Linked DNA regions of Struthio camelus. The protein of the gene in region 3 binds, or shares a complex with, the protein of the main gene of each other region. Links are inferred from orthologs where the notes say so. Each region holds a gene or a part of one and is shown on either strand. Other genes may lie near its edges. The genes, in order: VPS72, ANP32E, ING3 and MBTD1.

Region 1 (7,495 bases), on a different chromosome or scaffold from region 3:
AACACTTCCCAGCAGAGGACGGAGCCACAGCTGGCACTGCTTCTGCCTGCTGCAGGTCTTGATCCAACCTGGAAAGGCTGCAATTAGCTCCGATAGGACACTAAGGGCTTGGGAAAACCCTGAGGCAACTCCTGGATGAGTCAAAGCCACCAAATCCCCTCCTCAATCCCCTCCACAGGACTGGAGTGCAGAGTTAGGGAGTCGAATGTGCCTTTCGAAACCCACTTCCCCCTCAGTGTGACGGGACAGAGCCTGGGGAGCAATCTGGAGTAGGACCTGACACCGGAGGGGCCTAGCTGCATGCTGTGAGGCAACCTACCCCTCTACATCCACATTCTCCTCCTTGCCCAACTCTGTGATGAGGGGCATGGTGACGGAGCAGTAGCGGATGACAGGCCCCACGCACTTCCGCTTCTTCTGAACCTGCTTCTTCTTGTCGGCCTCCAGGCGCTCATAATTCTCTGCAGAGGTGGGGACAAATGGGGTCTCAGCACCTCACTGATGCCCTCACTCACCAGCCCACACCACTTCAGGGCAGCCCCTTGGCACTCTGCCCCGCTCACCCAGGGAACGGAGGTTGATCTCCTCTGTGATCTTGGCCTCCTCCAGCAACTCCTCCTGCGTCAGCGGGCGGTCATAGTTGGGGCCACCCTTCTTGCGCTTGGACTGCACCTGCCGCTCCTGGATGCGGAGGAAGGTCTGGCGCGTGTGTTCTGTCGTTGACTGCCGCATGTGCTTCCGACCTGCCGTGGGTGGACAGGAGTCAACTGGGGACACCTGCTGGGCCCAAGCCACCCTGTACAGCCTGAGCCAGACCCCAGTGCACAGCCCAGCTTTGAGAGAGGCTTCAGAAGGACCCATTTCCGGCCCACCCAGGTGGATACATCCCAGCCCACATACATTCACTGTCTCCCACTTCATCCTGGAGCTCCAAGGGGGTGGATTTCACCTCTCGGGCCTTTTGGGAGCTACTGCTGGGAGTGTCCGGCTTCTTGGGTCGCAGGCTCTTGATGGGCTCCTACAGGGATCAGACATGAGGTGACATGAAAAAAAGAGAAAACTTCCCTCCCCGCTAAGGTTTCGGCCTTGTTTAAACAAGAACCTGTTCAGGGACCACACAGTGGTCCCTGCTGAAGCACCAACAGCCCCAGAGAGGAACATCCCCCCCTCACGACGAATGACATTGTTAATAGCAGCAGCTTTGTTAGCTTTTCTTAATTATCCCATCTTTCCAGGAATGCCTGTATCTTCTCCGAGTAGTTTGGAGGTAGCTCAGGTCCTCCCAACACCTCTGCCCTTTCTCAAGGACAGAGCAGTGATGTCCTGGTATGGGTTGGTGCCTCCCGGGACTGGGATGGGGACCCAGGAGTCCTGAGCCTAGTCCCATCCAGACAGCCCCGCACGCCCCTCACCCTGTAGGCCTTGGTGACGACGCGGCACCGCCGCTTGGGCTCGCTCTCGTCCTGGTCACTGGTCGGCTCCTCGCCCTCATCGATGTCGAAGTCCGAGTCCACCTCATCATCGCTCTCTGACTGATCACCCTTGTACTCATCATCGCCTGACTCCTGCGGGAACAGAGAGGCCGCGTCACCCCCGCAGGGCTTTGCTCCCCACCCCATGTGGCCCTGAGTCCCAGTGCCCTCCTGCCCCACGGGGGAAGTAACCCTGTCTCTGTGGGGGCAGCTTCTCTCAGTGCCCCCCCAGGCAAGAGACCCTCCTGCTCCTCGCACCTCCCTGCTAGCCCCCATCCCCTTCCCCAGACTTCTTACTATCCCTGAGGGTCTCTCTGTGACCCCCATACCACTTAAAGCACTGGGATCCCCAAGCCCCTCACCTGCCCCCAAGCCCCATGTGCCTTCCCCTAAGGACTCTCAATACCCACTCAGAGCCCCCCAAAACACTCAGCAGTTCATAAGCCCTCTTTCCACAGCTCCAGGGCCACCCATTCCTCCCAGGGCCCCCTAAAGGCCTTTAATACCCTTCCAGGACCATCTCAGACTCTCTCAAATACACTCCCAGGGCCTCCCACCCCAGCCAGTGCCCCCATAAAGAACTCCCGCAACAACCTCAGAGACCTGTCATCCCCCCCCAAATACCCTCCCTTGGCCCCCCCAACCTTACCAGGTCTCCCACAAAGGCTTCCAGGTCCCCCCAATGCCCTCGGGATCCTCTCAGACCCCCCCAAACACCCTCTCAGGGCCTTCTGTCCCCCCAGTGCTATTCTAAAGGTCCCCAATATCTGAGGGCCCCCTCAGACACCCCCAAATATTCTCCCAGGATCCCTACTGCCCTGCAACACGTCAAATCCCCCCAAATACCCTCCCAGGACCTCCCAGAGTCTCCCAGCACACTCAGAACCCCTCAGGACCTCTAAAATACCCTCATAGGGGTCCTTCAGAGCCCCCCAAAGCCTTAAGAGCCCTCTCGAGCCCCCCTAGACCACTCCAGTGCCCCCTCAAAGGCTCCCCTCACCCCCACACCTCGGTGAAGCCGCCGTATGTGGTCTGGTAAAACTCATCCTCCTCCTCGGCCTCCAGCAACCCCGAGAGGCGGTTCCCAGCCGTGCGCCGCGGAGCCCGACCCTCCACCAAGCTCATCCCGCCGCCGCCGCGCTCGGCGCGCCGCTGCTCGCCCTGCCCCGCCCGCGCGCCATGGGCAGGCCGGGCCGAGCGAGCGCCGAGAGGTCGATGGTGCTCGCGCTCCCCCTAGGGGCTAGAAGGAGGGCACTGCAGGGTGCGGGTCTGCGGCGGGAGGGCTCCCCTCTTAGGTATAGGGCCTGGAGTAGGCTTCTGTGTAGGGTATGTGCCCTGCGGGGGCTCTTCTGTGGTGTCAGGAGTGTGACGTCACCGCCGCACCCTGGCGTGACGTCACCCGCGGTTCGTGACCCTCCCCCCGCGGCATTGTTTTGGCCCGCTCGTCCCATCACGTGACTCATGGCAGCCTCCATGCCTGCTTCATTCACCCCCTCCCCCCCACTGACGCGCATGCGCCCTACGCAGGCCCCTCCCGCCACCTCCGCCAAGCACTGAAACAGGTGGGGCCGCCGCCCTGGGAGGACTCTCCCCCCCTCCTGCCCCGCGCCGAGTGGTTGCGTCCGGGGGTGGAGGAGCGTCCAAGTGGGGGGGGGGTGAGGGAAGTGGTCAGCCGCGCGGGCTCTGCGTGTGGGCGCCGCTGTCCCTCCCGCCCGCTGCCGGATGGTGCGGTCCTGAGCGGCGGGGCGGGGCGGAGCAGGGCGGGCGGGCGGGCGGTACCAATCAGGAGGGGCGGCGCGGGCTGAACGCAGGCTGGGGAGGGGGCGGGGGGAGTGCGCGAGCCGCCGCAGGAGGAGGGCGCGCACCAAGATGGCGTCGGCCGGGCCCGAGTCGGGGGGCAGCAGCGGGAGCAGCGGCGGCTTGGCAGGTAGGGGGCTTGAGTGGGGGATATGGGGAGAGGGCCGTGGATGTATGGGGCCGATTTGGGCTCTGAGAGGGGTGAGGGCGGTGGGTATGTGGGGCTAGGCTGGGCTGGACTTGGCTCTGGAGGGGATGAAGGCCGTGGAGCGTGTGGGGCTGTGATGAGATGGAGGGGGGTGATGGCCTTGAGGTGTGTGGGGCTGGAGTGGGTTCTGGAGGGGAGTGATGGGTCTGTGGGGCTGAGGTGAGCTCTGTGGGGGAATGAGGCCCGCGGGCTTTGTGTGGCTGAGGTGAACTTTGAGGGGCAGAGGGTTGTGGGGATGAGGGCCGTGGGATGGAGCAGGCTCTGAGGGGTACTTAGGGCCGTGGGGTGTGTGGGGCTGAGAGGACTTAGGGGGTTGGAACGCTGTGGGGATTTCTGGGGGAGCGAGGGCTGTGGGGTGCGTGGGTTTGGGAGGGGCTCGGGGGAAGGGGAGGACCTTGGGGGCTGTGAGGCTGGGTGTATACAGGAAGGCACTTGGGTCTTGGGCTCTGCCCGGTGTGGGGTGGGAGGGGGAAAGCTGGGGCAAGGCTCTGGGGGTGCTGCCTGGGGCTCAGGATGTGAGGCAGGACTTTGGGGCAGTCTGGTCTCTGGTGCTGTGGGATGAAGTGAGGTGTGGGGGAGTGTGTTGGGAGGGGGGAGGGTGAGTTGCGGATGAACTCCCTGCAAGGCATAGGGGAGCGAGAGCAGGAGGGTTATGGGGCAAGCTCTGAGTGGGCTGAGCAGCTGGCTCCATGGAGTGAGCTGGGGTGGGAATTTCTGTGGGTGTTGGGAGTGAGGTCTCTGAAGGGCTGACCCTTTTCCTGCAAGGCGTTCATAGGTGTGTGGTGAGGGTCCTGTGGGCATGAATGGTGGCAGGTAGGGGGGCTTGAAGTCTTCCCACAGATAGGTAGTGGGGGGGTTCACAGAGACTCCTGGGGAGGTGGGATTGAGTTACATTTAAGGGGTGTCCTGATGGGGCAGGGAGGGTGGCTGAGCCCCCTACAGTGGGAACCCAAGGGGTTGTTGTGAGGGAAAGTTGACTCTATTTTCCCTTATATTGCTAAAGCCTGACCCCCCCAAGTCAGGTTGCCTTCACAGGTGGGGGCAGTGGGTGCTGGCTTCACTTACTCAGCTGCTAGAGGGTGGTGGTGGGGAGCTAGAATGTCTTCCTTCAGGCAGGACTGTGCGGTGCTGGGGAAGGGGGAGGATAGCATCTCCCTGGCAGAGGCACCCTCTTTGCTGTGTCTGGTGTTGGGTAATGTGAAGGTAGCTCATCAAAGCTATTTAGCACCTGTGAGATGCAAGATGATATGGGAATGTAAACATCTTCTGGTTAGATTGGTTTTAATGACTAGAACTAGGTCTGGTAGAAGACCTGAAGGTTTCTCTTGCTCCACTGATTTAAATTGCATTGGATCTGCAGTCAGAGGGTATCAGCTAATTTTAGCTGAAGCAGAAATATGCTGGATTCAAACTGGACACAGTTCTCATCCAGAAGAATCCAGTAATGATAAAATAGGGATGTGTGGAAACCATGCCTGGGATAAAATAAGGTACTTCTTGGTTCTTGAACCTGCAACTCTTCTTCCTCCAGAATTTCATGGCTAATGTTCTTGCAGAAAGCAGCTTTCTCATGCTAGTTCAAGGCTAGAAACAGCAATGACTATCTAAAAGCCTTTTAACTTGCATTTGGTAAAATCCATCCAACCTTCCTGAGTTGCTCTGTTGGAGAGCAAGGAGGGTTTTTATTTGTTATAATGCAATATGCTGAAACTTTCTGGTCAGCAAGAAATCTCTTGTGACTTGAATTGCAGCAAGGAAACAAAACACGAAGGAAGGCTTCCAGCTGAACCTCAGCCTCATTGACACACTGAAAGCACCACGTGTTTTATACCTTAAGCCCCACTGTCTGCTACCCGGGGTGTCTTGTAGAAGCCTTTAGGGACGGATCCCAATGAGAACCATCCCTAGGACTCCCCTTTGTAGCTAGCAGGCTATGTATGTGAATCCCTGGATCCTGGACACCACTGTAAAAGGGATTATTTTAATCGTTGCAGTGGAGTCGATGAGGCAATGTTGTCCGGGTGTCACCTGGGAAGGCTGTGTGAGGGTATTAGACTTCCTGGGTTCTTGGATGTGATCATTGGATGGTTTTGCAAATGGATCTCTGACATGTTCACTTCGTATTTGTTCACCTTATGACTAGGCATGGGAGAAGTAGTACCTGTTGGTCTGATGGAGCCAGTTTTGCGAGGAAGAGATTACTTAGGTCTTTTTTGGCTACGACAGTCATACTGTCTCAGCATAGAGCATAGCATAGCTCTTGCCCACTGAGCTCGGCATAGGCGGAGCATTCAGGGGCTGGACCCTTGGGGTCTTTTCCTTGCCCTGCTTTGAGGCTTCCTTTGAGATCTTGATCCTTTCCTGTGCTTGCCTGTTTCCTATTTTGGAAAGGAGGAGCTTGCTTCAGAAGGCTCTTAAGCTCTTGAAACCCTTCAAGCCCTAAGAGAAAATATGCAAATGCACAGGTAAATCTCTTCTCTCTTCCTGTTGGAATAATTGCCATTGTTTGCTTCTCAGGGTAGCTAGGTGTTGGCTAGCACACATTTCCCACTGAATTTGAATCCTAATTATTGCAGAGCCTCAACTGTGTGAGGTATGTTCACCTTGGTTGATCCCTGCTGGCACAGGCTTTAAATCTCTGCTTTCTGTTGTTGGTCCCATCTCTGGGAGACTTGGGTCCTCTCTAGTCGGTAGCACAGAGGAATATCTTGTGCGTGCTGAGCATCACCTCCCTCTGGGAGGAAGTCCCTGACTGGGACTGCTCTAGGCAGGCTTTGGGCTTTGAGTAGGAACTGGTCTGCAGCTTCCTGAGAGAACAGGTAGAACTGGAGATAATGAGAGCTGTGAGCTGCTGTCCTTGCATGGCTAAGGAGAGGGATCCTGAAGTGGGAATCTGGCTGCCACTGCTAAATGGGCTCATCAGCCATGTGTTGGGTAACGTGGCTGTAAAAGAGCTGTCTCTAGAGGGATCCCACTGTGCCTATCCCTCTCCTAAAAGGTATCGCACAGAGAGACCTGGCTTGCAGCGCCTGTGTTTATCATTACCTTGCAGTCCTGCCAGGCAGAGGCATTTCACTGTCTTGGCAAACGCGTTTTCCCATTCTTGCATTGTAATAACAAGGCCAGGAGCAAACACCAGGTTAGAGCAATAACTAGTGCTTTTGTTTTTGCCCTGGGCAGAGGCTGGTAGGGCACCAAAATCAGTCTTGGGCCAGAACATGGCAGCTTGTTGCTTCAGCTTGACTGTGTGAAGGCTTCAGGTACGACTTGCTTACCCACCCAGCAACCCCTTCAAATGCCAACGGAGCAGCTCTACAAAAGGCAGAGGACTGCCAGCAGACAAAAGGAGGCCAGTGGTTGTTGGTGGAAGCCTGTTATTTTGGACATGAGGTTTTAAATTTTCTCCATGGTAAACCTTAAACCATCTCCAGTCCTGCCATGGCTTGTTGAGGCAGTGTCTACCCTCAGTGCACATGCTGCAGTTCACTCTGGGGCTGATTACTGAATGATTCTGAAACTCCCTCCCTTTCCTCTTCCCAGGCCAAGCAGGCAGTTTTCCTTGACTGCTCTGGAGCCCTGCCTCAGCATGTGTTTAACTCGCTAGGGAAACACCCAAGAGGATTTCTCATTTTGCTGCTTTCACTTTCAAGCAGCATGCACCAAAAATGCTAATGTGGGATTTCAGTTGTTTGATTCTTTGTGCCTCTGGTTCAGTGACCGTTTTATAATTACAGATCTGAGCGAATTGAGAGTTCATTGTCACCCTGGCTTCGGGCCCCTCCCTGAAGTCCACAGACAAAAGAATTGCTCTCCAAATGGCTCAGTTGCTTCTAGGGGCAGAAGAATTATCCCGATACATCTGAAATGAGCTAAGAGCAGGCCTCTGAACTGCTAGGCTGTAAATATAGGTGTAAAACCTCTAGGAAGTCTCATCCACCCCACTGTCATATTCCTGCAGGAGGGGCATTGCTTTCTGGATCCAACCTAGTGGAAGGAGGAAAGATCATATTAAACAAAC
Region 2 (7,885 bases), on a different chromosome or scaffold from region 3:
GTTGCACTGCTCGTGATTGTCAACGTCACAAGTCACGCTGTTTTGCGGAGCAGAGATACGTACCTTTCGGAGCTTACTCAACGTGGGAAGTTTGGCCAGCGATGTCAGCTCTACGTTGGCCATGCTAAGAAACTCTAGCTCTTTAAATGAGTCATTCAGACCTTCTATTTCACCATTGCTGGATCGGCAGTTATCGAGCACCAACTCCGTCACCTTCAAATAGGATATCAAGTCGCTTGTCAGTTTAATGAGCATCACTAAACCGTGCACTTCGCCTAACCACAACTCGAAGGCTGTTAAACACCTGGTGTGTATTTAATTTAAACCAGAATTGAAGTTATTTGCGGTCTGAAGTCACAGCACCCGCCTGTTTTAAAAAGGTATGCAACAGTTTCCCTTCTTACGAGCATGTTTCAAATGCTGCAAAGACAGCTATCTAAAAAGAAACTTTAGCGTACTGAGAGCCATACTTCTATGGCTTCATATAGTGCCACCACAATATGGTGAAACAGTGTAATCCTTTACATAAAAACATATACGGGAATTGTGAGGTCAGATCACAGAGACAGTCCATCAAATATAACATCCCATTTCCAGTAAAGGCCTGATTACACTGAACAAGAGGAAAGAGCAAGATCATGTAATTTGGGTAGCTTGAGATTCATCTGCTCTTTTTAAGGAGGGGAAAAAACCTTCCTTTCCATCAGTTAGTGGTTCACTTATATACCAAAACCTTGACAGTATGCACCCCGACTAGTTTCTAAATTCTAATAATTGTGCGTATTCTAACGCCTAAAGCCATTACATTTCTTTTTGAATCCTAAACCTTCCGACTTCAGATTATTTTAGCAGTGAGTCGTGCAAGTTAATTAAGCATAATTAAATAACTTTCTTAAGCCACTGCTCCTAAAACAACTAGAACGTCTCATACTTTGAGAGGAGGTAACAAAAAGCATCCAATAAACTCTGCATTATTGTATACGTTATGGAGTATACCACTCATTAGAAAGGCTGTTAACAACGTGACTATACCTTTCCCCAGCATGCACTTAAGTAAAATTTTAAGACTGCCTTCTCGTGTTGTGGAGGGAAATTAAGTATTTGAACTCGTAGCACAATTTGTCAGCTTCAAATAAAGTCTCAATGTTTTCTTTCTTATTTTTCTTCCAAAAAAAAAAAAAGGCAAACACAGGTTTTTAAAGAAACCTGCCAAGGGAGAGGGGAGCTTGATGTCTTAGGCTACAAGATAACATGCATCTGCCAACCTAAAAGCGTTATCTCGGCCTTTTAAGATACCTGCCACAGCGCACGGACCCACACGCTGTTCAGTTGAATAAACGGTTTATGCCCCCTCTCCTTTTTTTTTCCCCTCCTCCCCCCAAATTCCCTACGAGGCAGGTCAGTCCCTCAGGCTGAGTTTAAAGCACTTTGCAGTATCAACCTCTCTGGACTTTACTCTCGGGGCGAGCAAGGCAGCCGGGTCAATAGCGTTCTTCGCCGACCTCAATGCAAAAAACATCTGTTGGGGGCACCGCTCGTCCGCCGGACAGATTCGCCAGCAGGGAAGCGGGGGCTGCGAGCCGCTCAGCCTCCTCTGCGGGCAGCTGGCGGGGCCGTCAATGAAATTACTACAGGGGATTAACTCGGCCGCCGCACGCTACCCCCCCCCCCCCCAAAAAAAAAAAAAAAGAGTAATTGCGGAGCTAGGCTTTTTTTTCCCCCCACGCTGGGCAAAAGCAGCGAGGATCCGAGCATGAGAAAGGGGTTTCCCCCTTCACCACCCGCCGCAACTCCGGCCTCGGAGGATTTCGGCAGCCGCGTCCCACGGGGAAACGCGCAGCCGGTGGCGGCGCCGGAGCGGACTCCGCTGCTCGCCCCTGCCGGCGGGCGAGGGGAAGCCGGGGGGGGGGCAAGAGGGGCTAAAGTGCGATGTAGCCGCCGCTCAGGGCTTTCACCAGCGGCTCGTGTGGAAGTGAAGGGGGGGGGGGGGGGACACACACAAGTTTCGCTGCGAGCCCCGGCGGTCCCCGCCCGGAGCCACGAGGGCGGCGGGTGCCATCGCCCCACGGGCCGGGCGGGACCCGGGGGAGGAGGGGCTCAGCCCAAACGGCCTCAAACCTCACTGTTTTTTGGGTTTTTTTTTTGGGGGGGGGGTAGATTCTTGGCGAGGGGAAGGGGAAAAAAACCAAACAAACACACACACACACACCCCGGGAAATCCGAGCCGTTTCCGACGCATTCGGGGCAACGATGCCGCGGTCACACGCGCCAAGTTGAAAACAAGGCGAATTACCCCCAAATTTAAAGAAAAAAAATGAGTAAAAGTTGCGGGATCGCACGCACGCGGCGGTCTCTCCCCCCCACACACACACCCCAAACTTCGGGGGGGAAGGGGGGGGGGTCCGCGGCGAGCGAGCGCCCCCGAGACGCGGGCGCGAAGTTGGCGGCGAGGGCCGAGGGCGGGGGGGAGGCGGCTGCGGGCGGGGGGGGGGGGGGGGGGAGCAAGTCGCCGCCGCAAACCGCCCCGGGGCCGGCGCCCGGAAGCGCCGCCCGCGCCCGCGGGGCTCCTGCGCCACGGCTGACCCAGATTCGGCGGCGCGGCCGGGCCGGGCGGAGGGCGGCGAACCGCGCGGGGCCCAAGCGGCGCCTCGCCACCCCCCCCCTTCCCCCGGCGCCCCCGCCGCCCCCCCCCTCACCTTCTCGGGCGCGCGGTTCCGCAACTCCAGGTTAATGCGCTTCTTCATCTCCATCGCCCCCCCCCTCCCGCGGCTCCTCACTGGAGAGGGAGGGTGGCCGGGCGCCGGGCAGGACAGACCCGGGGTCGCTGTGGCGGCGGCCGCGAGGGAGCCGCGAGGCGGGACGGGAACTCGGCCGGCAGCCGCCGCCACCCCCCTGGCCCGCGCGCAGCTCCGGCCCCGTCAATGGCCGCTCGCACACTAAGCCTCCATGACATGGCGCATGGCGCCCCCTCCCCGACGCCACGCCCCCGCCGCCGAGGGGGGGCGGGGCTTCCTCCGCGCCGCCGGCATTCTCATTGGCGGCGGGCCGCGGCCGGAGAGCGGCGCCCGATTGGCTCGTCGCGGTGCCCGTCGGCGGCGCGTCGCTTTAAAAACAGGGCCGGCGGCAGCGGCGGCAGCGGGGGTGTTGCTTTTGGGCGTGGGGGCGCGCGCGCACGGGGTGGCGGGAGCGCGCGCGCCGCGGGGTGTTGCACGGGGCGGGGCTGCCCGCCGGCCGCGTTTTTGCGCTGCCGGTTGCACGGGGGCCGCTGCCGGCGGGGTTTTGCCCGTGGGATTTTTTGTATGGCCGGTTGCACGGGGGCGCTGCAGGCGAGGTTTTGCCCGTGGGTTTTTGCTCCTTCCTCTGCGTGGGGTGGGGGGTGCAGGCAGGGTTTTTGCACGCCTGGTGGCTCAGGGGAGCTGCAGGCAGGGGTTTTGCACGTGGGGTTTTGCATGCCCGGTTGCTCAAGGAGGCCCTCTAGCTGGGATTTTACCTGTGAAGTTTTTACTTACCCGTTTGCACAGGCAATTGCAGGTGGGGTTTTGCATGCCCGGTTGCCCAGAGGGCTGCGGGTGAGGTTTTGCACAGTGGGTTTTTGCATGCCTGGTTGCACAGGGCAGTTCTAGGTGGGATGCTGCATAGAGGGTTTGCTCAGCTGGTTGCACAAGGTGAGGTTGCAGGCAGGGTTTTACATGGTTGCATGTGGGGATTGCCCCAAGGGTTTTGCCTGCCCGGTTGCATGGAGGATTGCATGCCCTAGGGTTGCATCTGTTCCTGGTGATGCAGAAGGGAGGCAGGACATGGGAGCAGACCCTTTGCAGCTTCGCTTTCCCCAGCAAACCTGACTCTGAAGCTGCTCCAGTGCATACTCTGCATGCACCATAACTGCAGGAATGCTTCCTTGGCTTGCATGCTGCAAAGTGGTCTAGGGGCTTTCTGAACACTGAGCAAACTAAAACTGCCTGCAACAACCCATAGGTCTTGCACTCATGCATGAACACCCTGGAAAGCTCACCCTGACCATGTCGCTCTTGCTGGCTTCCAGTAGCTGTTAATCCCAATCCCATAAATCCTGACTATATAGGAAACCATTGACTTGTTCCGCTCAGCGTGAGTGCCCTGGTCTAGGGCCAGCACTGCAAAAAAGACCTCGCCAAAGCATTGGCTCAAGTTAAAATTTGGATCCTGCCACCTTGGGGCCTTGAGTTTTTCCAACCGTTGATGCCCGGTGCGCTGGTACATGGTGCTGCTGTGGGATGGACTCTTGTGCTGTGTTACTGATATATTTTCTCATTTCCTCGAGGAAAGAAGATGCTGATCTTGGGCGACGCTGTGGCAGGGGCTGAGGTGCCAGGTCGGACGGTGGATGGAAATGCTTTGCCCGAGGGGAGGCGTTAGGTGCTGGCCCCGACGGACAAGAAACTCTAAATATTTGTGCGCTGCTGCTTTTAACTGTGTGACACAAATAGGCAGAGATGTTTTGGCAACTTAGTGTCAAGACAGAAAAACCATGGGAAATCTCTGCTGGCATATTCTAGTTTGTTTAAACTTGGTGAAGAAAATTTTTCTTGTTTCATATGGTGAGTGTTTGTAGGCTCCGATTTATGAGAACTCGGGACCCTTTCTCTATGACTATTGAAGAAAGGGGTTACAAATGCAGCCAAAATGCCCAAGTCTTGCCAATCCTGGGATGTGCTCGGTCTGGAGGGTGTTTCGTTTCAGCCGATCTTATAGAAATTCACCCACTAATGTGGCGAAAGTAATGTCTCGAGAAAATCTGTTCCAACGCTACAACGCTTTAGCTAAAATTGCAATACATTTCTGTGCTAGCTGATGCTGAGGTGCTTTGTGTGCTGCCTTTGGTTTGGAAGTGAGCGTTCCTTCGCGATGCCAAGGCGGAATTTAATACCAGCAATATTCCCTAGTTATACGATTTCCTTATTGCTGCTTTCACGTATCTGCTGGGCTTTAAACCATGTCCGTGATCTGCCAAGATTGGCATGACCCCTTTGCGCTTGACTTTGAGCGTTTGGCATCCCCTATACCTTTTGGAAAGCCGGATTAAAAACTGAGGTGAAAATTGGAAAAAGCATCTTGAACTTAGCTGATCAGTCAGAAAACAGAATTTGTGCCTATGGGGTCGGACTACGGGTTCGTTTGCAGGCACCCAGGGCTGCTTTTGCTGAAACCTGCTTGCTCATGCTTTGCACAGGAAAAGTGCTCTGGGAGGGATGCCAAAACTTAAGAAAAATGAGTGAAATAACCAAAGCAGGATTATGCTTTACATTTCAGCTGCGTTTGCTCAGCGGAGGAAACGGTTAACATTCGCAGGGGCAGCAGCCTCGTCCAGGCCGGGTGCACCAGGAGAGCCCTGCTTTAAGGCCTGGCGTAAGGTCAGGACGCGGTGAGTGAAGGCAATAACTTGTGAATAATACATGCAGGAGGCAATTTTCAATCCTCAGTAATTGTGGAAATCGGCACAAATGAGTTTCCTTCCTAGAAATTCTGTCTTTAGTGTTAATGGGTTTCTAAAAAAAAAAAAACCACACAAGCTCATGCAGAGCTCTGCTAGCTGACGGCTGCCGCTGCCCAAGCAAACTAGTTTAACCAGCTGAAGTATTTCTGGGCTGAAAACAGCTGTGTCCTGCTTTTCCAGCCCTGTCCACCTTAGCGGTGCGAGTGTTAGCAGCAGATCGGCGGAGCGCAGCAACCCGTGCTGATGTGCAAAGCGCAACTGTGGGGGTTTTCCCCCTCTGAACAGCTCCAGTCTGCTCCCGGGGACCGAGCGCCTGTTTTGAGGCTGGGTTGCATTAAGCGCATCCGGAAGATGCATGTCGCATCGTTGCGGGAGGAATTTCAGTGGGTTGGGCGCAACAGCGGCAAAATGCAAATTGTGATCGTTTTGAGGAAAAAACAGCCAATGAGGCATTGTGCATTTTGGGTATGTCACTTGTTGCATGCTGCGTGTGCCGATAGGGGTTCCTGGTTCTGGAGGATTTGGGTAATCGTGCAAAGAACAGGTGCAACGAGATTTGTTCCTAGAAGGGTTTGCTAAGCTGTTGGGATACTGCAGTGTTGGGGCTGTGATTCAAAAATGGAGTAGAGCTTGAGGGACCTGGTTTCTTCTTCCACAAAGATAAGTTAGATCGCGGCGCAAGAAATAATATATACTCGCTAATGCGCATGTACTCGCTATGAGATTTTTTTTAATAATGTCAGTTTTGGAAAAGAGATGAGATTACTTCCAATTTTTTATTATTACACTTTCTATAAGCTGTCACTAGCGATGCCGGGGCAGTGCAGAAGGTATTTGTGCAAGGGGGAGGCAGGCAGGAATCGGCCCCCTTCGGCCACGTACAGGCTTTTCTCATGCGTGGTCTGCATAAATCACGGATAATCACTCACATCTCTTGCAGGAAGGACCGATTATTCATTTAATCGCCTGTATCTCTCTAAATCTGTGATGGTAATAAGGCAAAGGCGTACCTTATCTTGATGGAGCAGCTTAAGTATTGTTTTGCCCTTTCTTTGTCCGTTTTTAAAACGTGCTGTAAAGCTAACACCGGTTTTGTTGTACAAATTACCTTTTTATGCCCTGTGTAGTTAGGTTTTACTTTGAAATCTAGTACTTTGGGGAAGAGCTCGAGGGGTTCTGGTCTTTGCTGTTGGGGATACCGCCGTTGGGTAACGATGCTGGTGATGTTCAGTAATAAACTTGGCATGTCACAAGCTTCTTGCATATATTTCATTTTCACTCAGTTTTCTTCATTGCAAGGTTAATCTCGGCTCCTGAGCAAGTGGTATGTTTGGAAATAGATTTACCGCTCTTGCAGGCAAAGATTAACACTGCTTTTTGACTTTTACAGCAGTTCCTGGGATAGTGCGGTGAAGAGCCAGGAGGTGGCAGTGGCTTGCAGCATATTTCAATCTCGCCAGGGCTCCTGGCGCTTCCCTGCAAAACACTCCGCTTCTACTTCGCACCCCCGAAGTCCCTTTGATGTCAAGCCGGGTAACCTCCACAGTATTTTCTCAGCCCGTTCCCTACTTGAGTAGTCCCTCGCAGCTCTTTGGGAGCGCTTTCTTTGCTCCCTTCTCGTATTTTTAGCTGCTTCTTGAAACTTGTGTCACGCTTGCAACCGCAGACCGCATCGGTCCTTGCTCTCCATCACCCGTCTGAAGCACGTGTGGTGGCACGTTTTCCCCTGGCCGGGGTAGCTGTGCCGATAGGAGTCCTGGTATGGACTTGGGTTTCCTGGCCGCGGGGCTTTCTGGAGCGCTTTGCTGGTGCTGCTAGTAGTGATGGATGCAAGACATTTGGTTAAGAACAATTACGGAAAGTAATAACTTAGACTGTACGCCACGCTTCAAGTGCTTCAAAAGCCTCCTTTTGACAGGATGAGTCCTATGCAAGTGCATTTCTTTTGTTTTTTTCCCTATTCTGCTCTTGACCCAGGACTGCGGTGTTTCCTGAGGATTTACACCGGTGGAACAACTGGAAACAAAACGTTGCTGTTGATCGCTCTGCAAACGCCGCAGGGGATGGCTCCCGGCACGGAGACTTGGTCTTAAAGCAGCTCGGTTAAAGTGGTGGCCTGCAAGAGGGAAAGCGGCAAAATCTGCATCTCGCCCTGAAGCTGCTGAGCTTTTCCCGCTCTGAAAGAGAAGCGATCAGGCCAGGAATTGGGGTGGGGGGGGGGAAATGCAGGAACAGGTAGGGTTGGTAGCATTTCTCGTGCTTCCCTGGAGGGCACTGCAATCTCTGCCAGGGTTTTGGGCTATATCACGCAGTGCTGAGACCGGGAGTTAGTTGTTAGCAATTTTATTGGCAGCGGTTCATATTTACAATATGGAATAATAGGAAGTAGGAAAGAACCTAGTCATGACAAAG
Region 3 (7,943 bases):
TCCACTTGTGTTCTTCTGTGAGAAATTAAGTAGTCTGAACAGGAAGCAAGCAGCTCACACTTTGTGAAGGCTTCTAAAAGCTCTGTTCTTTGGCCAAATGACTATAATTTGGTCTCTAAACCTCAAGGATAAAACGCTCCATCTTCTCTTCCAAGAGTGAAAACAGCTAGGTGAGGAACAGCAAGATTATTATGGCTTCCCAGACACGAAAAAAAAATTTCCCTCTTTACTTTTTACTGAGGACACCTTTCACTCTGTGTGAAATTGCATATGTGAAAACTTTCAAAGAAATTTGGACTCTCTTGAAAGGTTAGGACTGTTAAGGGGGAAACACAGGAGAGAACCTATTCAATTATCCAAAGGTTCTCTCTGGTATATGTAAGTTCCTTCAGTTTTTCTGTTTCTCCCTCTGCCCCCTTCTAAGCCTACTGTGACACTACATTCTGACATAATAATTTCTTAGAACAGATTTCGCAAGGGAGTTGCCAGAAATTCTACTAGAATAGAGAACTTTTTTCCCAGAGCTTGACATTTTATCACGGAGGCCTGATAATCCATGACTTGAACTGAAATAGATAAAGACATTTTAAGCTCCACATGTAAACTGTCTTAGTTGGACATCAACAGTCAAAGTCACAACTTGGATGTTCTTCCCTTTCCCACAGGTATTATCAAGACGTAAAATAGATACAGTTGGTTTGCCTATACTTATTCCAATGACAAGAAGCAACACCTGTCCCTTTAGAAGTCCATGTTCCCCACAAAGGACAGACTATAAAGTCAGTATCAACTCTGACAGTAGTGCAGTTATCGCTTTATGACTCTTGTAGTTTTCTGAGACAGCATCCCTTGCATAAATGCTGTTTTCAAGGCCGTCAGAGACACTGAAGCTACACAGAAAGTCACTATTTCACAGCATCAGAATAATCTGGTTGATACGGAACATTCAGCTGGCTGTCTGGCAATTGACATGGAAGAGATGAGAGTTCTGGAGTTTTGTAATGTCTTGGGATGTTTTGTCACTCATTGTGCAAGAATTATTGAAGTACTACGGTCCAAAAGAGATTTGTTTTTTTCAATCTGGGCCTAAGGTTGAACTTAGTATAAAATACTTAGTGTCATTTGCCATTTCCAGTTATGGCAGAGGAAACGACAGTACTGCAGCCTTGGCAACACTAGTCGGCTCGTCCTGAAATACACTTTAAGTACTAGCTTTGTTTCCATACTCAATAGAAGGCAAATTTGTGATCTTATTTGGAACTACCTAAGCCCACGAGCTGCTTCCTTCCCTCTCCTGGTGCTCCCTAGTGACACTTACTTCATAAATGTTATCTCCTACTGCTCAGCTCCTGAGCCACTGTTCACGTCCTTTGGCTTTGGCATTGAAGCCAGGATAGCACTTACACCACAGTATACAGAAAAACTTATAGCCAGTTCAACACACATTAATAAAGTCTGTCAAACAGACCAGCTGGAATCATTAAAGTAAATACCTCAGATCAAGCTTGAGACCTCACTTGAAAGGATTATAGGTCAAACTATTGTTTGACCTATTGCACTCCTAGACAGCAAAATATTGTAAGCATGGTGCTGCATTTCATACTACTGCACTGCACCAACTTGTTACTTCAATCCTTGTTCTTTCTCTCTCTCATTCTTCCTTATGATTGCCCAGTCCTTCTGTATTGATGAATCCTCGCAACTTTTGTCACAAAGAACAATTTCGTCAACAAAGAGCTTTGCATTATGGTCATGACCATATTAATTGTGTGTTAAATGACAGCAACACCTAACTAGAGCCAAAGAATCCTTTAGCATCCTGACATAAGTCATAGATGAGACCAAAAGGCAAGGAATCCTGAAAACAAAATTAGGCAGCATCTGAAATCAGGATATAAACACAAGATATACAAAAAGATCAACAGAGAAACGTAAAGTGGACGTATATTTGGTAAGTGCCAGCTAAGGCACAAGAGACTAGGCAGAAAACATTTTCACATGTACAATCATGAGGGGAGATGGCTGGAAGGTTTCAGAAACAGCGCACAGCGACCTGCTGGAAGAGCGGGATAAAACTCATGCTCCAACCCACCACCACTGCTCTTAGGAATCAAAAGTCTAAAGAGTTTGGGACATGCCACCGAAAACGCCTTAAGGAGCGGCACAAGCCCAGGAGCGAAGCTCCTGTCAAATCCTAGCTGCGCGGAGACGGCGCTGTGAGCGGCCGGGCGGCTCGGCGGGGCCGCGGCTCGGCCCCGCTCGCTGACATAGCGCCAGGCGCGCGCGCTCCGCCCCTCGCTGCGTCCCGGCGGCTCCCCGCGCGGCGCCGGGGCTCCGCAGCGCCGCCTCCCGCAGCCGCAGCCGCGCCCGCTCCGACAGCGCCGCGCCATCGCTCTCCCGTAGGAGAAGACGCCAGGAGCCCGGCGCGGCGCTGGCTGCCGGCCCCCCGGAAGGGGCGACGAGACGCAGCCGGCCGCGTGGCGCGGCCCCCCGCACCGGACCGGCCTGCGGCGCTGCCGGAGAGACAGGGCGTCGGGAGGGGAGGGGAGGGGAGGGGGGCGAGCCACCCGCGGGCCACCGCGCGGGGCGGCGGCGGGGAACGGGGCTGCCCAGGCAGGCCGCAGCGCCTGCCGCGGCGCTGTTTCGCCCCCTCTTCTCCTGCCCCCGGCGCGAGCGAGCCGGTGCCCGCGGCCGCCCCCCGCCGGCGGGCCGGGCCGGGCCGGGCCGAGCGGCGCAGGCGGGCGCGGGGAGGAGGAGGAGGAGAGGCGAGGGGAAGCGCGGGAGGGGAGGGGGCGGGCAGAGGAGGAGGGGGCGGGACTCACGTACTCTGCACCTGCAGGTCCATCTCGCGCATCTCGGTGAACCTGTCGCGCAGATCCATGGGAAGCTGCTCGATCACTGCGGGCACACGGAGGGGCGGGGGGGAGGGAGACGGGGAGGAGGGAGGAAGTCAGTCACCGCCGTGGGGGAGGGGGGGAACCGCCTCGTCGCCGCGGCTCCCCCCTCCCCGCGGCCCCCCTCCGCTAGCTATGCCCCGCCGCCCGGCATCCCCGTCCCGTACACACTCACTCTCCAGATAGTCCTCCAGATACAGCATGGCGGCGGCCGGGCGAGCGCCAAGGGGCTTCTCGCTAACGGGGGCTCGTCCCTTCCAATATGGCGCCGCCGCCAACAACACCAGCAGCTCGACTCAGCGAAAACAACATTGGCGGCTGACGGGGCTCGGCTCGGCCGCGCCGCAATTGGCTGCCCGCGCCTCTGACGCACGCCGTGCCTCGCGCGCCGCCGACGGCATCACGGGAAATGTAGTTTCTGCCCGGGGAAGGGCCGGGAAACTACGTGTGCCATGATGCACTGCGGCGGCCGCTCCTTCCCGCCCTCCCGTTTCTGCTGGCGCGGTGGGGGGAGCTGGGCGGGCGGGGTGGCGGCTGCGGGGCGCCGCGTAGCTACCGCGGGCCGCTCCGCTGCCTCCCGACCCTTGTGCCCTGCGTTGTCACTGGGGGTTTCTTACAGCCCCAGGTCCTGGAGTTTAATGTTAGAGTCCGTGCGCTGTCTTTTCGCCAGAAAAAGAGTAGTATAGATAGTAATAAAAGTTACAGGTATAATGGGATATCTGTGGGCTTTGGAATTGCTCTTTAGTGTAGAAAAAATAATTAGCAAATAGATAGAAATGAGTAAGTTACAAGGCTTCTTATTGTAATTTACTTGTTAAATGTTTTGAGCTGAAGTTTTTCCGCAGTTTCAATCCCCGGAATACCTTTATTTCATCGCTGTTTTATCATTAATTGTATTTCCTGGTCTAGTCATGCGCTAATGCGTAGAAGACAGTGATTGTTTTTGTCCAGATGTTCCTACGGTGTAATATGGTTTTTGATGGTGGGGAGGACTTTTCAGGGAGTGGGTGATACCGGATGTAGATAGAGGCAGCGTAAGAATTGCCATACCAGAAAAGACAAGTTTTCTGCCATGTTTGTTATCTTTTCGTTTGGTCATCTGCGCCATATGCATCCAAGCAAGGAAAGGAAGTATATGGCTTAGCCAAGTGTGAGAAAAAAACAGTGCAGGATGTTTTTGAGTGTCAGGATGAAGGGAAAATTGCATTCTTTTCTCATGTTTTAAGTACATATGTTGTGAGTAATTAGCTAAAAATGATTTAATTTTGGAAGCTGGAGCTTAAATTCTGTGTGTGGCTTTTATGAAGATTTTCATTTTAGTTCTGTCTCAAAAACATAATATATAGCCAAGCATTCTTTTATATTCCTACCTTATTGTAAATGAAAAAAAAAAAAGTATAACAATAACTATGAACTTCTTGGAAAAGTGTTATACCTAAGTGGTCGCTTTCCATTTTCATTCCATCAATTAGCTGTTTGTTCTGCACTGCTGATACAGAAGTATTGACTAATGTCATAAATACCGCTGAACAATTTTTAGATGCAGTTAAGCCCAGTAAGTATCAGTCAGGAGCAATAGTTGAAAGCATCTGCACTCTTTAAAGTACAAATTTTAACATGCTGGTATAGGAATGACAATGTTTTTGAAGTTCTGTGTGAGAAATTGCTTGTGCCCCTGTTGTTATGTGGAAGACAAACGCTCTGATCCTTCCTGGGAAATGAATCGCTACACTTCTATTAAAGTGAAAGGGTTCGATGTGGCAAGATAACTTAGCGTATTCAAATGCACAGCTAAAGTAATCATATCCTATTTTCATTAGGAGAAAAGGATGGTGAATTTAGGGAAATCTGAATTGATGGGGGTCACTTTTTTCGTTTTCAGTGATGGCTTTAATGTTCCCTAAAGACTGAAAACAAAATTTTATAGTAGACAAAATGGATATGTATGTATACATACATATCCAACAGATATTTAAGAGAACAATATTGTACAAAAATATTGTACAAAACAACTCCACCATTAGAACTACAACTGAAGCACAGTTATATGGTAAAGTCTCACCATGGTGCCCCATGACCGAAATCACAGGACAGCCAGGATGCTGGGACTTGTAACCGTCTCCTGTGCTGAATTTGCTGCATAATAACTCTCTCTTTCATGCCTGAGTTTGCTGCGTGCCTGAGTTTGTGGGCTTGGGGAGAGTCAGCAGAATGCTCACCAAGAGCTAGTGTGATAGGGTGTTTTCAAATATTTCCTGTGTACTGTGGTACCCAAATGAAGCAAACTAAGAAACACGTTGCTTGAGGCTGGGTCTCAGTCACTCCTTTTAATGCTAGCGTTTGCACCGTCCGCATGAGTGGCAAGGGAAAATGGGACTCAGGCACGCCAACAGAATGACAAAGACAAGATTCTGGTGGGGCTGGACCCTGCTATCTCCAAGGCAGGAGTGGCCCCCTTTGTGTTTTAGTGGAATGTGTCAGCAACTTTTGTAAAATTAGGAAGCTTCTTTAAAAATCATGCATTGTAGTGCTTTACAGCAGGGGATGGGAGGGGATAATGTAGAGTATGAGTGAAAATAGAATTTAGCTTTGTTCAGTATTGAAAAGCAAATATGAACTCCTTTATCTATCTGTAGTCTCTTTTTTGTACAATTGGAGAAATTGTCACATAGTCCATTTCTGCCGGTGTTAATTCACACTGTATACTCAAGTGTATAGCCAACCAAATTCAGTGGGATTGTGTGAGTAACTACTGCTCATCATGGCAGACTGACAGAACAGAGTTTAAATTGCCACTTTAAGAAGTGATTAGCCTTAAAGGCCGTACAAAAGGAACAATATTTTTACAGTGAAAAGCTTCCTATTGTGTATAAATGTAAAGACCTGACTTTCAGAACAGCCTAATTGGAACAACCTATTTAGAGCAGCTCCTGATCAGGGAAAGAGGGATTAATGACAGTGTTTATTGGGATGCAAATGCATTTAAAAAAGAAGTAAACACTAGCTGTGAATTCAAGCTAAAAAGAAATTCAATTTGTGAATTGCAATCAACATTGTTCAAAAAAACCTTCCATATAGCAGTAGACATGCTTAGCATAGAGGAAAGAATGGAAGCCATAGGAGTTGCTGTTTCCTCCTGCTGGTATAAACTGTAACATTATTAATGTTGATGGCCTTTGTCCTGCAAATGCTTCACATAAATCATGTCTCATCACTTGTGGCAGAATGATGGCATAAAGGAATATTGCAGTTGCTCTGTGATCTACCTAAAGCTAATCGCTTGCATAGGTTTCATTAGTTTTCAGCTGTCAGGAAAGAAAAAAAGATTAAAAAACATGGATTTATGTTCTGATGTACATTTCTTAGATGAGGCTCAGACTCTTCTGTCTTTTCCCTCTCATCTGTCCTTTCCCATTCCAGATCTCTGTGATGTCTTTTTTTCCATAATTCTGTTCTGTCACTTCCCACTTGCAGGCTTGTGTGCCAAGTCTCTGACTTCCTTCTGTCCAACTTCCCGTTCCTCCTCAATCAGTTGTTCTTTCCATTCACTGTCCTTCTCCTATCCATTCTGTCTGTCTTGCAAGCTATATGTTTTTCAGGGGCTTTCTATACCTATTCGGGAGTGTCACTGTTGCGTAGTTTCTTTGGTACTTTGATTTTTAACTCTTACCTAATCCAGTGTTTTTAAACCTATAGTCCTTGTGTTTTGCTTGTTTTTTCAAGGACTGTTTACTAATACTTTGATTTGAAAAAATCAGGAAAGACCTATCTAGCCCATCCCTAGACTGATGATCCTAGGTCTCAGCTACTGCTGGTAGGTTTGTGCGCTTTGAATTTCTCATATGGGAGTCTGTCCCCTTTGCACACAAAGACTGCTAACATACAATGTGAAGCAAAAGCTCTTTGTTACTGAGGTCTAGACTGTGCTCGCTAAAGAGCTTTAAGAGACAGTGACAGCCAGCCAGCACTAAGTAATGGTGCAACAGAGCCTGTGTACAAGTACCAGCCTAGGCAGCTCTTAAAATACTGGATGCGAGAATTTTGCTTTTCTTTGGCACTGCCCCGTTTGCAGTACAGCAGTCCTATCTGGCGGAAATCCATTCACCACGGTGTGCTGCAGCGAGCATTTGCTGCCGATAGCAACATTCCTAGCAGTTTACAGAGTTTTGTCTGAATACCAGTGTTAGCATCAGGCCCTTGGTCTCCTTACAGGCTTTCAACTACTTTATTATAATATTTCCTCATCTGTTTGTTGCCTACTCTCTTTCTGCTGCTGTTACCTTTCCATTCTTTCCAGACCTTCCTCTCTTGCAGTCCAACTGTCCCTCTCAGCAGCTGTGGACCTCACCATCTCCCGTATTCTGCCCCTTCTTCTTCCACAGCCTCATTCTCACTGTGCAGGAAATAACTGTCATTCCAGCTGTACTATACACCCATGGCTATGGAGGACATTAGTTAAATTACTAAATTGTCTTGAGACTGAGTACCATGTAAAGGTTACAGCATGATCGTATTTGTTCTGGGCAATCAATTTTATGTAATGGGAAACTCCATCCAAAGCCAGATCCTAAGAAAAAGCAGGGTGAGACTATCCAGTAAATAATGTTACCCTTGTCTAGGGCAGCAGTATGCAGAAACTTCACACTTCTGTGAAATGATCCTCAAAAGGGCAAATTTGGCCCAGAAGTATTGTGGTTGCGTGGTAATCTATCTAAAAAAATCACTTTCCATTTCTACATATTACAAACTCTTGCAAATTCTGAGATTCACACTCCTATTTCTGGAAACAAATCCATGACCCCAGATAATTAATTTACTTTTAACAGTCAACAGGAAAATGGAACTGCCATTTGTCTTTCAGCTTATGTTTGTGTACTGACTCAAGCAATTACATCTTCATCTTTTACCTAATTTTGTCTGCTGCAGGCTCAGTTAAATTTACTTGCAGATTTCTGTTATTTCCTCAAAAGTCTGCAGGATATGAGCAATCACTGTTTATATATTAATAACTGAAGTGTTCTTATCCTGACTTCCTAAGGAAATAAAGCT
Region 4 (8,094 bases), on a different chromosome or scaffold from region 3:
CCCCAGAAACATGACAGGAGTATGGACAGATGGCGTTGGAGGCCAAGATCAACAATGAGGTCATCATAAACTTCGAGTCAATTGTATGTGCTAAGATGTATTTACTTCAATCACACATCCTTATCAGATCATGCATTTCCCACAGCGTACTTCCAAGTTCATACCAAATTCGATGCACGGCCTTTGTTTTCAAAAGTTCATTAATGCTTTATGCTGCAAGTTTAGTTTTAGCTCTGTATTTCAACATTAAGACACCAAGAAGACAGAACTAATTCATTACAACTCTTCTGAACTTCACCTAGCCAAAATAATTTAGTGTAGTAATACTAGCTTGCCCCCTGTGGAACTGAAGAACTAATTGTGTCTCAGAGCATGACAAAAAAGGAAAATTCAAACACCATTTCAATTTTAAAGAAAACATACTTTCAATTTTCATTAAAAACAAACAAACAAAAAAACCCCAAACCTAAATGTTTTGGGATTCCTGGAAATTAGAACCAACCAAACTTACTTTTTTATAGAAGCGACTCACCTCTATCTGGAAATGTGCCTTCCACTCTTATTACAAGTAAAATCTCAGCTGGAAAATTACAGAAATGTTTTTTCCTGTCTCTTCATTTGCTATGTATGACAGCATTTTGTCTGAAGCCAGTTTCTGCTGTTTGCCAATGGTTTTGTCCATAGCCTCTTCCCCAGGGGGTTTCACACAAGAGGGGAGACTCTTTTACAAAAAAATATATCAAATTAGCAGGCAATTTGGAGGGGGAAGGAGACGTAATATCTGAAATATCTGAGTTCTGAGAAAACTCAAGATGTGTTACAAATTCCATTATGCTTCTACAAAACCCTTGCACGCAGGAGTTATCTGGAAGACATGAAGTCTAGAAGTCAAATACTTGGTTTTCAACAATGCATTACCATTAAAAAAAATCAATTTATAGGTTAAAAAAAAAAACAAACCCAAACCCTGGAACACCTGAATTCCTTCTACGTGCCAAGTGCCAGATTCAGTAAAATATCACACTTGCCCAGCATGTACTGACTTACCTGAGAAACGAAGGTATGCAGTAGCAGTTTGCAGAAGGTATCAAGAACCTTGCAGAATTAAACCAAGTTTTAAAAGGTAAGAAAAATGAAAGCCAAGGGAACTTTTGTACATATTGTTGTCATTACTGCTACAGTCACGTAGTTCTTCTGAGAACCACAATGAAGAGAACCCTTGCTTTCAGCTGACAACCCTGTTGCACATGCACTATGCACTCTCAAGACCAAGATCTAAACTATTCTTTAGTGTAAACAATGACTTCCCGCTAAGAAAAAATACACCTCTGCTACGCTTTCCAATAACTTACACTACTCACTTACTCAAAACGATCCCTAGTTAGAAGCAACTAGTAAAGGCTACTGACTTACCAAGTTTGGTTTTTGTTTAAGAATATCATTGTTTTAGCTCCCATTTAATGTTCCAGATTAGACTTTCTCCTAAACTTATTATTCCATTCCTTATGGATCAAAATCAGGCTGTTATAAACGACTAAAAAAACTCCAAACAAATAAATACAGCATCTCCGACCTGGAAAATAGCCTTCATTTAAAACAGAGAAGACTACCCTGCAGCTTTCAAAGCCGCAACTAGTTTTAGAAGTTAAAAAATCACAAGGGCTGTCACCCACGTTTTAAAGTGTTATTTTAAAAGGAACTGCTTTCTCACACGCAGTAGCTTCTACCGTAATCAGCAGACGCTTTATAGGGCGATTCTTTTTTTTTTTTTTTTAAAGTCACACTGGACAGAAATTCCTACAGTTTAAAACACTTCCACCGCCAACCTGAAAGCGAAACTGGTTTCACGAGTTTATTGCTCGCGTCCAGAACAAAGTCAAAACATCAACAAGCATAAAAAGGATATTGACGGGGCCACTGGCTGCAAAGAACCCGCCGCTTCTGAAGTGCCGGGACTAAAGAATACTCTAAAGCGCTTAAAGTGAACGCGACGGGCAGACTAAACCTTAAAAGCGGTTAAGGGCAAGAGGAAGTTACTGAGAAAAGCAGCGCTCCGACAGACCCCTCTGAGGACGCGTATCCCAGCGAGCCTGAAGCGCTCGCTACGAGACAGACCGAAACTTTTTGTTACTGGCTCTGGCTGCCGGCAGGGACATAAAGAGAAAGGCAGGGGGGAGGCCGGAGGGGGGGCGCCGCCGGACCACAACAAAGGGGGAGCCGCCGGCCGCCCGCCTCCACGTGCCCGCAGCTGCGCCGCGGATGACAGGGCTGCGCCGCCGCCGGCAGCTCCTGCCGAGCCCCCCCCCGGCCCCCCTCCGGCGCCCCGCAAACTTCGTGCGACGGCAGCGCGCCGGGAGGCGGCAGGCAGCGAGCCCCTCCGGGCGGCCGGTGCCTCCCCCCGGCGCTGCCCGCCCCCGCAGGGGCTCGGCGCTGCTCTCCTCCCACACAGGTGCCCAGGCCGCGCAGCCCCCTCCCCCCGGGGGAGCGGGGGGGGGGGGAGGCGGGGAGGAAACACCGTGAGGGAGGAGGGGGTCGCTCAGCCCCACCGGCCCGGCCCGCGCCGCCTCCCTCCCCTCAGCGCCTGGCCGCAGCGCTGCCCCCCGCCTCAGCCCCCCGCGGCGGCGGCGGCCGCGGGACTCACCAGGTCCTTTGTGTTTTCCATCAGGCCCTCATGGGCAGGAGGTGCCCGCTGCCTCTGCCCCCTCCCCTCGGCTCGGCCCCCTCCGCCTGCCGCCTCCCCCTGCGAGGGGCCGGGCCCAGCGGGGGCAGGAGGCGGCCTGGAAAGTTCAGCCTCTCACTCAGCCGGAGAAAGAAATTCAACTCCCTGCTCCGGAATATCAACAACATTAGCATAACGGCACTGCGCACGCGCGGCGCCCGGCCCACCGCGCGCTCTCATTGGGCTCCCAGCTGTTTGGGGCTCCCTCGCTCGCCGTACCCCCCCTGGGCGAAACCACTCCGCAAAGGAGGGGGGGGCTCACGGCATATTAGCGCATGAAAGTTAAAAGCGGCCCGGAAGGGGCTTGTTTTACCTTCTCGCGGGTGACGAGACACGGGAGGTTGCCGCCAGGCTGCCGCTGAGGAGCGGTTATTGCCATATGGGGCATGGGACCCCTCTATGTTTGCGATGGAGCGACCTGGCCTCGGACCTCATCACGTGAAAGGCGCGGGGGGGGGCGGAGAGGAGGAGGAGGAAAGGAAGGCAAAGAAAGGAGGTCACGTGACAGCGCCTTGGGTCCACGACAAGCGGGCCGAGTCACGGGGGCGGAGGAGGGGCAGCAGCGCGAGCCTATCGTGTGAGGGGGGCGGGGCAAGGCGGGGGCGGTATAAGGGAGTCACGTGGGCGGCGCGCACGCGTTCCGGTTCCGGCTGCGGCGCTGTGAGGGGTGATGGGGCGCGCGGCGGTGGCGGCTCGCGCCGGCCCGGCGGCGGCGGGAGGGCAGCGGCGGCCGAAGATGGCGGCGATGAAGAAGAAGAAGAAGAAAAAGAAGATGGCGAAGCAGCTACAGCCGCTACAGCCGCGCGCGGAGGCGGCGGCGCAGGAGGCGGAGGAGGCGGCCCGCCGCGGCCGGCACTTGCGGGCGCTCCGCGGGGCGTCGGGCGCGGAGCGGGCGCTGGAGGAGCTGGTGTTCGGCGACAGCCTGGCGGCGGAGGAGGGCGAGCTGCTGCAGCGCCTGGCCGGGCCCCCGCCGGTAGGCCACGGCCTGCCCTGCGCGGCGAGGCGGCGCCTTCCCTCGCCGTCCTTGTCCGCCCGCTTTCCCGCCGCCCTGTGAAAAAACGGTGCCGCCTTCTCTGGCTGGGTTAAAGGGGGCCTCTTTGGTTGTTTTCAGCTTCGTGCCGCCGAGGGGAGAAGCCTTCTGAAAGACTCCAGCGATTCGGAAGTGGAGAATGAAGCCAAAGATAACTTCTTATCGTCTAAGAAACCAGCCTGGGTGGATGATGACGATGAGGCTGAGGAAAAGTAAGTTAAAATTTGTGGATAGGAAATAAGGACGATGCTTTAAAGAACTAGTACAAATGACTTCAGTTTAAGTAATCTGGGTGCTTCTTATGCTTTTTTCCTAGGATTGATATGACCCACAGGTATAAGAAAGATATGATGAAAAGTGATGCTGAGAAGATACTTAGTAAGAAAAAACTTAGGCAAAGACTTCAAGAACAGTGAGTTTCATTAACCCTTCTGTAGCTACTTCTAGTAACGTAAGATACATGCGTGTGACCTTCAGAGTACCTCTTCTTTTTGCTGAATTCATGTAGATGGTTTAAAGTTATCGTGTCTAGCAATATTTGCTGTGTTTAACTCCAAAGTAGTATTAAGAATAGCAAATAAGGCTTATGAATACACTTTTCTATGGACTAATTTACTTAGCACTTGTTTTAGTAGAGATGTACAAACTTGTGTTCTAGGGAGCTATATCAGAAAAATCTTTGCAAGTAGGGTGATGGGAGACAGTGACTTAGGCTAGGTGATTGGTTTCTACTTAATAAGGTATGTTAGAAAGAATGAGCTGAAATATGGATATAGATAGATAGCAAAGCACTACTGTAGACGTGTTTGGGCTGTCTTGGTACTAGCACTTATAATTCCAAAGAACAGTATTGTCATGTTTAGCACCAGTTACACTTTAGTTTCATGTTCTAGGAGTCCGCAAAATACCTTATAAATGCCAGGAGTGAAGTTGTGAGGGGGAAGGAAAACTTGCGTTGTGATTTTATGCGCATATCACCTCGCACAATTGAGGCTGACTATCATGTAAGTTGCGCATAGAAGGAAACTACTTTCTCAAAAACGTCCTTTCCCACTTGCCCCCTGTTTTTCTTCTCGCTAGATTTCAGCAAGCTATGGGAGGAGTTCCTGCCTGGGCTGACAGAGGAAGTAAAAAGAAACACAGAAAGACTGCAAATGACAGTAAAGAAACTCATTATGATTATGAAATTATGATTTTAATATGCTTTTGTCTGCTCCCCTATTCAACTCTTTAGAAAACAATTTTCAGTGTCTCTCCAGTGTGAATAAGGTGATAATATGTGGGATAAATTGGCTTTATCCCTTCGGTGTGCTTTTATTTCTTGTTGCTTCTGTGGGGAATTTGTAGGTTTGTAGGAAGTGTTTGTGAAATCAATCTTTTCTATGTGTTTTGTTTTAATAGGTGATAGTGATGAAGATGATGATCTGCTATGCAGGACTGGCAATTTCATATCAAACTCAGAGTCCCTGCCAAGAGGTATTTTGCAGGTAAAGGCAAGCCTATCTTACTTTTACCTTATTTTGACCCCTATACACATTTTGACCGCTTTGCTGTTTGGACAATAATGTTTCTGTTGGTGATTGTATGGATTTTTTTCCCCCCGTATAACTTAGAGGCCTAAATATTTCTACTTCAGAGAAATTGGGTAGGAAGGATGGAATTTTCCCACAACTCTGAGGTTGCTGAAACGGTCTTTGATACAGTAAGAAATTAACTTAATCTGACAGCCTTAAGAGTTTTGTATGCTATCTGATCTGTGTTCCAGATTCGTTGAAATTTAACTAATTTTATATAAATTGCATTAATTCAGAGGTTGGTAGAAAGGTTAATTATCTTGTATCTATGCTACTGTAGCAGCACGTTTTCCCTGACTTACTGTGTATTCTGCTTGTCTAAGTTGTCTAAAAGGTCAGCATAGTGTGAGGTCTCTTGCTTTGTAGAACAAAGAGAAATTAAATTGACTGACTACTCACCAGCATAAGCAAATACGTGTTGTTTTTTTTTAACCGCTTGATCTCTATTATAGATGAAGAGCTGCTTGCCTGCTAATCAGGAACGCCTTGCTGGTGGAAAACTTTCAACAGTGCAATTCCATCCTTCTGCTCAAGTTATCCTCACTGCTGGACGCGATCGATCTGTGTCACTCTTTCAGGTGAGAAATTTTAATATATGCAATGGAAATAGCAACTAATATTGAATGTTTTTTAATAAATGTATTTTAAATGTGTTTTAGCTGGGGTGGGGTGGAGTTGCTTGTTTTTACCTTTTTCCTCCTCTCTTCCTGTGATGGCATGTGGATGTTTTAGAGATTGTAATGTCCTTGTGTCTAGAGTGGAATTTTCTTGACTGAAATTTTGTTCCAACAAAATGCCTTCTTCAGTGGCCTCATGCTAACTGCTTATAGGGTATAGGCAAATTGGTTTTGTCCAGATTTTTAGTAAAGAATTTTTTTTAATATCTTTGGTTTCAAGATTGTAGTGACTAGGACTGATGTGATTTTTTTTTTCCCCAAGTTTGTCTTGTTTTTTTAAAAAAATAATAATTTGAGCAACAGTAGCTTTAAATGAAAGTGGAGAGCTCAAAGCATTTTTGGAATGGAGAGACTGTCCTGCAGCAGGAAGCTACTCATCCTGGGACTCTTCTGTCACGCTCCTCTGAAATGTAAAAGTCTATTTCTCTATTCAGGGACCAGTGAAGTGGTCAAAGGCACAAGTCAAGCTTGACTCCCACAGGTCTGCAAGAGCGAGCAATGTGAAGGAAATGATGTCATATAGGAAAGCACAATATAAATGATAATTAAACAAAACCTGGGCATGGCAGGAAGGCTGAGAGGTGTTTGGAGTATGTGCAAGGAGGGTGGGAGTGCCTGAGGTTAGGGTGAGGAGTTAAAGCCAGGTTGTTTGTAGATTGGGAAGGTAGGGAGATTAATACTTCAAACGAGTGTACCTTTTGCTGCATAAGTCTCTTGTACTGGCTAGTCAAGATTAACTTTTTTTGTGTAGAAAGACTTCATATGTTCCTTAATGTATTATCTGTGTTTTTTGAAGGTTGATGGTATAAAGAATCCAAAAATACAAAGCATCTATTTAGAGAGTTTTCCAATCTATAAGGCTTGTTTCAGTGCTGATGGAGAACAAGTTATAGCCACTGGTACCCACCATAAAATGTTCTATGTGTATGACATGATGGGTGGAAGTATTATTCCTGTACATCAAGTAAGAGGTACGTTTAAGTGTTAACATTTTAACTCTCTGGGTATAGTTGAGATTGTCCCAAACAGAGCTGGCATATAAATCAACTGTAAAAGAAAGTGCAGTAAACCATTGGTGGTACGGTTATTTGTCTTCAGTGATTTTTACTAGTGTGTTTAGTTTTAGTTTGAATAGTTGTCACACAAGCTTAAGGTTGAGTTGTACCTTTCCTGTGGCAGCCTATGGCAGAAATGAAAAGTTGAAGTGGGGTCAGGTCTTTACTCATGTTCATCATAGATCTGAAAGCTGAAAGAGAATATCATGCCAGCTTGAAGTTCTGAATCCCTCTTTTTAAAGGTATGGAGGAGAAGTTTGTCAAAAATTTTGAAGTGTCTCCAGATGGATCATTTATGCTGCTTACTGGAACTTCAGGTTATCTTCACTTGCTGTCAATGAAGGTAGGGTTTTTTCATGACTCACTTTGCCTCAGTTTCTTGGTACCCTTTGCCTCCTGAATCTGCTTGCTTATCTTTGATCTGAAAAGCCATCTGGCTTTTTGACTAAAACAGAAATATGAGACGTGCTGACAGCCTCAGAAAATGAGGTATTGTGTTGTCTGGAACTGTAGCTTCAACAAATGATTTTGGGATGTCTGAGAACGTTTTGCAGACTACGCAGTTCTCTTTGGGACTGGTGATAGAGCTAAGGCCAGGGTTTCATAGGCTTTTTAAGCTTTGCTGGAAAGGTGTCTGTCTGTTTCAGCTGGTGCGCAAACACTGTGCTGTCAGAAAGAATGGCCTCAATATGGAAGCAAGTGGCTGAGGGTAGGGGGAAATAGGACTGCTTTCCTTGGGAATTGTGGTAGGTTTAATGTGTTCATGAATCATGCTAGCTCCTGGGGTTCGTAAAGCATACAGATTTTTTTCAGCTAGATTTCAAATGTCATTTGGCAGCTGGATTTGTTTCAGATTTTCGTTAGGAAAAGTATTCTTGTCAAAAAATGTTCAGTGCTGTTCCTCAATGGGGACCTCCCAGTGAGGGACCCAATGAGCCTGTATTGAACTAGTTCTAGTTGGAGATCCATGTACACCCCGTTTATTTTACAAGGCCTGTAGGTAACTTGGTTCTGAAAGAGTGTTAATGCCGTTCTTTTA

The links.
Region 1: ING3 (region 3) and VPS72 share a complex: the UniProt entries of both Homo sapiens proteins name them as parts of the nuA4 histone acetyltransferase complex. The link is inferred for Struthio camelus from reciprocal best matches to the Homo sapiens genes ING3 and VPS72.
Region 2: ING3 (region 3) and ANP32E share a complex: the UniProt entries of both Homo sapiens proteins name them as parts of the SWR1-like complex. The link is inferred for Struthio camelus from reciprocal best matches to the Homo sapiens genes ING3 and ANP32E.
Region 4: ING3 (region 3) and MBTD1 share a complex: the UniProt entries of both Homo sapiens proteins name them as parts of the nuA4 histone acetyltransferase complex. The link is inferred for Struthio camelus from reciprocal best matches to the Homo sapiens genes ING3 and MBTD1.

Annotation. Positions count from the first base shown.
Region 1 is NC_090971.1:35,237-42,731, forward strand, and holds the start of VPS72 (vacuolar protein sorting-associated protein 72 homolog), read right to left. Parts: upstream 3,212-7,495; 5' UTR 2,598-3,211; coding exon 2,481-2,597; intron 1,566-2,480; coding exon 1,413-1,565; intron 1,019-1,412; coding exon 901-1,018; intron 744-900; coding exon 564-743; intron 462-563; coding exon 320-461; intron 69-319; coding exon 1-68. Other genes in the region: putative PIP5K1A and PSMD4-like protein, read left to right, coding at 3,342-3,399. UniProt on the Homo sapiens protein: Deposition-and-exchange histone chaperone specific for H2AZ1, specifically chaperones H2AZ1 and deposits it into nucleosomes.
Region 2 is NC_090971.1:2,784,148-2,792,032, reverse strand, and holds the start of ANP32E (acidic leucine-rich nuclear phosphoprotein 32 family member E), read right to left. Parts: upstream 3,003-7,885; 5' UTR 2,751-3,002; coding exon 2,697-2,750; intron 214-2,696; coding exon 64-213; intron 1-63. UniProt on the Homo sapiens protein: Histone chaperone that specifically mediates the genome-wide removal of histone H2A.Z/H2AZ1 from the nucleosome: removes H2A.Z/H2AZ1 from its normal sites of deposition, especially from enhancer and insulator regions.
Region 3 is NC_090942.1:26,308,634-26,316,576, forward strand, and holds the start of ING3 (inhibitor of growth protein 3), read right to left. Parts: upstream 3,294-7,943; 5' UTR 3,098-3,293; coding exon 3,070-3,097; intron 2,899-3,069; coding exon 2,827-2,898; intron 1-2,826. UniProt on the Homo sapiens protein: Component of the NuA4 histone acetyltransferase (HAT) complex which is involved in transcriptional activation of select genes principally by acetylation of nucleosomal histones H4 and H2A.
Region 4 is NC_090960.1:7,139,555-7,147,648, reverse strand, and holds the start of MBTD1 (MBT domain-containing protein 1), read right to left. Parts: upstream 3,179-8,094; 5' UTR 3,108-3,178; coding exon 3,033-3,107; intron 2,983-3,032; exon of another isoform or gene 2,663-2,982; coding exon of another isoform or gene 2,642-2,662; intron 722-2,641; exon of another isoform or gene 533-721; intron 1-532. Other genes in the region: UTP18 (U3 small nucleolar RNA-associated protein 18 homolog), read left to right, coding at 3,390-3,692, 3,831-3,961, 4,066-4,161, 4,830-4,909, 5,151-5,236, 5,776-5,901, 6,797-6,971, 7,298-7,398. UniProt on the Homo sapiens protein: Chromatin reader component of the NuA4 histone acetyltransferase complex, a multiprotein complex involved in transcriptional activation of select genes principally by acetylation of nucleosomal histones H4 and H2A.